Linked DNA regions of Saccharomyces cerevisiae S288C. The protein of the gene in region 1 interacts with the protein of each later gene in a pairwise test. Each region holds a gene or a part of one and is shown in the gene's direction. Other genes may lie near its edges.

Evidence for each region. Proteins that work in one complex are often made in the same cells at the same time.
Region 2: the proteins of NOP19 (region 1) and DHR2 interact in binary tests that used the Saccharomyces cerevisiae proteins (3 or more experiments, as listed by UniProt).

What each region holds. Positions count from the first base shown.
Region 1 is NC_001139.9:993,969-996,759, forward strand, and holds NOP19 (Nop19p), read left to right. Parts: upstream 1-1,670; coding exon 1,671-2,261; downstream 2,262-2,791.
Region 2 is NC_001143.9:286,899-291,618, forward strand, and holds DHR2 (RNA helicase), read left to right. Parts: upstream 1-1,946; coding exon 1,947-4,154; downstream 4,155-4,720. Other genes in the region: SMY1 (Smy1p), read left to right, coding at 1-1,675; PSG1 (Psg1p), read left to right, coding at 4,555-4,720. UniProt on the Saccharomyces cerevisiae protein: Probable ATP-binding RNA helicase. Required for 18S rRNA synthesis.

The sequences.
Region 1 (2,791 bases):
ACGTCTTCGGCTAGTAATCGGATCAGCGGGAGAAACATCGTACGTACACAAGAGAATACCGAGAGTGTCGATTAATCAACCACGCTCCATGAGGCTTATCCGCATTCTACTTGCATGTTAGCCGGGAAAAGACATAAATCATCTCAATTCTCTAGAATACTCTAGAGATTATGTAAAAGCGTAGCCCCGTAGATGATTAAATAATTTTCGGTTTCTTACCCCGTAACCACGAGTTGCGGTGTTTTTGCTTCTATCGGGGCAATAAGCGGGCGCTGCTTCTCGGGAATGTAAAAACTGTGCTTCCTACCATGAAGTAGTTGGATCTTGAAATGGGTTGGGCCGGAACAATATGCAAGTACTACAATCCTTGTATTCCCATATGATTATATTCCCCTTTGCATAGGCTAGTGTTTTTTTTTTCGTTCTTTTGTTTCTTCCGCTAGGAATAGTAGTGGCGATCTGCAGAAAGACGCTCTAAGGAAAAAGAGAGAATTTCGATCAGTCCCGTACACATTACTCTTGGGAAGTTCAATTCCTTCGGACGTAATCCACATACGAACTTGGCTCTCATCTGTTGTCTTCAAGCTGTTGCGGCCCTCCTCTTTCTCTCTGTTGTACACATTTTTTGACTTTCAAAAATATGCCGCTAAGGAAACATAACCCTTGTGTATGTGAGCTTGTAGCATATGATATAGTGCTCATTGGCATGTGACAAGAATTGCGTATGTAATTGAAGTTTGTAGTGTAATTTACGAAAATAGCCGCCCTTCTTCTTCATTAACGATTATTGAGCGTAATGATATAAGATACAACGGTTTATTTAGGGCTGCATCCATGAAAATACTTTGTAATAGTGAGTCGTCGCCTTGTTTGTTTATTCAATACAATGCAGTGTCTCTATAGTCTCCTCCTTTAGTTTCACTATCTTTTCTAACCGCCGAAGATATACGAGTGTTCTGAACGAAAAACGACCTTTTCAAACATAGAATATAATTGTATATATACATATACATATATGATACGCAGCCACATTCGTAGTATCTTTAAGACACTGCCTTTCAAAAAAGCTTTGGTATTTTGAAAGAAGATCGAAGCCAAGGAACCAGGACTACAATGAATTAGACGCTACAAAGTTTCTTAATTGGAAAACAAGGAGGGACAAGGAGGAGACTTTTACAGTAAACCAGAATGCTCCTTCACTGTTCAGTTATGTAATGTTATTGTTTGGAAGATCTGAAGAGAGGCATTTCCTACAACCTCTTGAATAAAATAGTGGAAGGCATTTACACAAAGAAGCCGTGCCACTTTGGTCCGGATTTTTTTTACCTAAAATCGTCTTAAATTGGCCTGTTCGATAGCTGTCATTTGTTTTAGATATTTATTTCCTAACGTCAGCTTTAGTTACAGTATGTATGTATCAACCTTTTAGTAAGACAATAATGATTGCATGTTTGATCCTGCTTTAAAGGCATTGGAAGTAACCGTAGTGGCCGCTGTTTCTTCTTGACGGCCTGTAATTGACCTGCGACGCGGGCAATTTCTAGCGATGAGATTGGAAAAACTAACGCATAAAAAAGATTTCAAGATTTATAAGATGTTGAAACAAATCCTCTTCTCACATCTACAGTTGATACAGTATACCGTATTATCTTTCCTCGGTAGTGTTCAGAATGAGTAGGGCCAAAGAATTACAAGAGAAGCTCAACTTGCAAGCGAAACTCCAGTCTACTTTCAGTAACAATACTGCTGCAGTTTTGGACTGGCTGAAAGAATCAGATGAAACCGGCATTAGCAATGATACAGAGCGTAACAAACAGTTAAAAGATCACAAGGAGTTGGAGGATGGTAAGAAGGCATTTTTCAAGCTTCCCGTTTTGCAGATTGGATCGGGCCTACACTTCCGCACACAAGATGACGCTTCCGCCAAAGAAGATATACATACGATTGGTGAGTTTATTGAGGGTGATAAAAAGGTAAGTTCGTTGGCAAAGAAAAAGAAAAGAAGTGACCCAGGGTTGCAACGAAATAATATGTACAGGATCACTAAAGATGATACGAAAGCCATGATTGCGCTTAAAAGAAAAATGAGGAAAGGCGAGAAGGAAGGACTAAGGAAGAAACAAGAGCATAGCAAAAGCAGCGTTTCGAACTCATATAGTGCCAGTGATGAAGAGGATGAAGATGCAGGGACAATGCCGCAAAAGTCCACAAAAAAAAAATTTGGTTTACTTTTTGATAAAAAAAAGAAGGCACGTAAATAATCTTAAACACTTATGGGCAGCAAAAAATGCGTCTTTCTTCCCTCGTCTGTTGTTTTATGTAGGGCGTAATGATGTTTGCTTGTCAACAAATGAATACGTACAGAAGAGAATTCTAGCCAAGGCAATTATTGCATACTGCAAGTACTGAGTACGTTAACGTTGCTAGAATAACATTAAATGAGATGTAGCAATGCAGATCCTTCCTCAGTAGGCTTAATGCTCCACTAGAATTTTTGACCAGCCACTATTTGCTTTTTTCGCAATCCTTTTCAATACTCGAGAGCAAAGACAAAAAAAATAAGACATGTAGTGCGCTGTATGGAAAAGAATTAATTAGAACTTTACAAACGCGTGTTAAACAGGCATATTTAAGTGTTTGGACCTAAACAATATATCGACTATTGAAATTCTTACGCAAGATTTTTTATAGTTGGATATTCATATATTCTTACAACTCTCTCTACTTTCAGTTTTTTGAAGCTATATGTATCATTATATACGTTTATGGATTTTTCAAACCTAAACAATTA
Region 2 (4,720 bases), on another chromosome or scaffold:
AAATGATGTTTTGAATGGTTATAACGGTACTGTAATAACATATGGACCAAGTTTCAGCGGAAAGTCCTATTCCCTTATTGGATCAAAAGAAAGCGAAGGAATTCTACCGAACATATGCAAGACCTTGTTTGATACGCTAGAAAAAAATGAAGAAACAAAGGGAGATAGTTTTAGCGTAAGTGTTTTGGCATTCGAAATATATATGGAGAAAACGTATGACTTATTGGTACCTTTACCTGAAAGAAAACCATTAAAGCTTCACCGTTCTTCAAGCAAAATGGACTTAGAAATCAAAGATATTTGTCCGGCACATGTCGGATCGTATGAAGACTTAAGAAGCTACATTCAGGCAGTCCAAAACGTCGGCAATAGGATGGCATGTGGCGACAAGACAGAGAGATCAAGATCACACCTAGTTTTTCAATTACACGTAGAACAAAGGAATAGAAAAGATGATATATTAAAAAATAGTTCTTTATATCTGGTTGATTTACACGGGGCAGAGAAGTTCGATAAAAGAACTGAAAGTACGCTATCACAAGATGCGTTAAAAAAATTAAACCAATCTATTGAGGCGTTGAAAAACACTGTGCGGTCCTTGTCAATGAAAGAGCGTGATTCAGCCTACAGCGCAAAAGGATCACATAGTTCTGCTTACCGTGAATCGCAATTAACTGAAGTGTTAAAAGATTCCCTTGGGGGAAATAGGAAAACAAAGGTGATATTGACATGTTTCTTAAGTAATGTTCCAACTACCCTATCAACACTAGAATTTGGTGACAGTATTAGACAGATCAATAACAAGGTTACAGATAACACCACAGGTTTAAATCTGAAAAAAAAAATGGATCTATTTATTCAGGACATGAAAATTAAGGATGATAATTATGTTGCCCAAATTAATATACTAAAGGCTGAAATAGACTCTTTAAAAAGCCTTCACAATAAATCTCTTCCCGAAGACGACGAGAAAAAAATGTTAGAAAATACAAAGAAAGAAAATATCAAACTAAAGCTTCAATTAGACAGTATTACCCAATTATTGAGTAGTTCTACCAATGAAGATCCTAACAATCGTATTGACGAAGAAGTTTCTGAAATATTAACGAAAAGATGCGAACAGATTGCTCAGCTTGAGTTATCTTTTGATCGACAGATGAATTCCAATTCTAAGTTGCAGCAAGAGTTAGAATACAAAAAGTCAAAAGAGGAAGCCTTAGAGTCTATGAACGTTAGGCTACTAGAACAAATTCAGCTTCAGGAAAGAGAGATTCAAGAGCTTTTAACTACTAACGCCATCTTAAAGGGTGAACTAGAAACTCACACTAAACTTACTGAAACACGCAGTGAAAGGATAAAATCTTTGGAAAGTTCTGTCAAAGAGCTTTCTCTTAATAAATCTGCAATCCCATCTCCTAGAAGAGGGTCTATGAGCTCGTCATCAGGAAATACTATGTTGCATATCGAGGAGGGTTCTGAAATATCAAATAGCCCTTGGTCAGCCAATACTTCCTCAAAACCTTTAGTATGGGGCGCGAGAAAGGTTTCTTCTAGCAGTATAGCAACCACTGGATCACAGGAGTCTTTTGTGGCAAGACCGTTCAAGAAGGGATTAAACCTCCATTCGATAAAAGTCACTTCGAGTACTCCAAAAAGTCCCTCTTCTGGAAGCTGACTATAATTAAGTTCGATAATTGTACGATACAACTGTGTAGTATCTTTGTAATTATAATCATGATGATAACGCTAATAATTTGTACGTATAATGCTGACTGAAAGATGTACTTTTCTTCTACCGTTTTTCTTCGGCGGCTATTCGTTTACAATGATTTGGAAAAATGAGAAAAATTGAAAATAAAAAATTCTGCTCGATGAGATGAGATGAGGTTATGATATATATGTAAGAATTCCTCAAGAAGAGGTTGCAAGAGTCTGCAGACATTATCATGGCAGCAAATAGCAATAGTAGAGTTGCATCAAACCATACTTCTAAAAAACAAAAGGTTAGGAGGAATATACATCCATTCACGAATAACACTCGGATTAAAAGAGCTAGTAAAATCGTAAAGTTTAATGATTCAGGCGAGGGCGACCATGTTTCAGACCAACGTTCGAACAAGGAAAATGTCCTTACTTATAAATCTTTGAAAAGTCGGGCAAGCGATTTACTCAAAATGAGAGAAACACTTCCCGTTTACCAACACAAGCGAGAAATAATGTCATATATTGAAAGCAATCCCGTTACCGTCCTTATTGGTGAAACAGGTTCTGGTAAATCAACACAAATTCCGCAATTCGTATTAGAAAAATTATATGATACGAAGAAGCATGGGTCGATTGCTGTAACTCAACCCCGTCGTGTTGCGGCCATCAATTTGGCTACACGTGTTGCTCAAGAACATGGTTGCAAACTGGGTGAACAAGTAGGTTATTCTGTCAGATTTGACAATACGACTACTACAAGAACAAGACTTAAGTATCTGACTGACGGTATGTTACTTAGAGAACTTATGATGAATAGTGACCTTAGAGAATACAGCGTCATCGTTATCGATGAAGCGCATGAAAGAACTGTGCTTACAGATTTGATATTGGGGTTCTTAAAATCCTTGATACAAGGGCCAAGACCTGATTTGAGAATAATTGTTATGTCTGCAACATTGCAAGCCGAAAAATTTAGTGAGTTCTTCAATAATGCCCCAATCTTATTTGTAGAAGGAAGAAAATTTGATGTCAAACAATACTACTTGAAGGCGCCAACAGATGATATAGTAGACGCTGTCATCAGGTGTTGTATACAAATAAACCAAGGTGAAGAACTGGGAGATATCTTATGTTTTTTACCGGGCCAAGAAGAGATTGACAAAGCAGTGACTATAATGGAGAAAATTGCAAAGTATGTTTCAGATGAGGCCCCAGTACCATTAATAGTTCCTTATCCTTTATATGCAGCTCTTCCCGCGGTCCAACAGTCCTTGGTCTTCGCTCCGATAAAGGGTTTCAAGAGAAAAGTCGTCTTTAGTACCAATATTGCAGAAACATCTGTTACCATATCCGGTGTTAAATTTGTCGTTGATTCTGGTCTTCGAAAAGTCAAAGTTTGGAGACATCAGCTGGGATTAGCCACTCTACTTACCGTACCCATTTCTCAGGCAAGTGCGATGCAGAGAAGTGGTCGTGCTGGTAGAGAAAGTGAAGGAAAGAGTTTCAGGCTTTATTGTGAGTCTGATTATGTGAAATTACCTAAACAAAGTGAACCTGAAATAGCCAGAAGTGACGTCACATCTCCTGTGTTAATGTTGAAGAGATATGGTGTTGATGACCTGCTAAACTGGACCTGGTTTGAGAACCCTGGAAAGGAAGCTATAGTAATGGGGCTTCAGGAACTTTATGAATTGGGTGCTCTTGACACTCGTGGAAAGATAACTAAACGGGGTCAACAAATGGCTCTGTTACCGCTACAACCGCATTTAAGTAGTGTCTTAATTAAAGCCAGTGAAGTCGGATGTTTGAGTCAGGTCATTGATATCGTCTCTTGCCTTAGTGTGGAAAATTTACTGTTGAATCCGTCACCAGAAGAAAGAGATGAGGTGAACGAGCGTCGTTTGTCCTTATGCAACGCTGGTAAAAGGTATGGTGACCTTATCATGCTGAAAGAGCTTTTTGATATCTATTTCTACGAACTAGGGAAAAGTCAAGATGCAAGCTCTGAAAGAAATGATTGGTGTAAAGGATTGTGTATTTCGATACGTGGGTTTAAAAATGTAATTCGTGTCAGAGACCAGTTAAGAGTTTATTGTAAGCGTTTGTTTTCTTCAATCAGTGAAGAGGATGAAGAATCCAAAAAGATTGGTGAAGATGGCGAGCTAATTTCGAAAATTTTAAAGTGTTTCTTAACTGGGTTTATCAAGAATACAGCTATAGGGATGCCAGACAGGTCTTATAGAACTGTTTCCACTGGAGAGCCGATAAGCATTCATCCATCATCTATGCTATTTATGAATAAAAGCTGCCCCGGTATAATGTACACGGAGTATGTCTTTACTACGAAGGGATATGCCAGAAATGTTAGTAGGATTGAACTTTCATGGTTACAAGAAGTTGTCACTAATGCAGCCGCTGTAGCAAAGCAAAAAGTTTCTGATTCAAAATAAGTCACCTACTCTTAGCGCATTTTTATTGTATATAAAGGCATTTAATGTAATTTATAGAGCATTATAAATCGTAACAACTACTGCAGTATGAGTTTCATGGATTCATTTCTCAATATCTTATGAATATACACAGGTATATATGTATATTCATGTTAAACGCCTTTCGAATTGTTCGTTGGCTTTTTTTGTGAAATTATCTCGGGAAAAGGGCGAAATTATATTATTTTGCCGTTGACATTTTGAAAAGGAATAAAAGATCATGAAAAAAATAAGAAAGGCAATTCGACGCATTTCTCTCAGCAAGCTATTCTTTACTTTTGAAGAACAAAATATTTTAGCAAAAAGGTTAAGACAATATAGTCGGAAGCAGTTCTGCGGGATCTGAAGGAATTGCGGAATAATGAGATTTCACGATAGTATACTTATCTTCTTTTCTTTGGCATCGCTTTATCAACATGTTCATGGTGCAAGACAAGTCGTTCGTCCAAAGGAGAAAATGACTACTTCAGAAGAAGTTAAACCTTGGTTACGTACGGTTTATGGAAGTCAAAAAGAATTAGTCACTC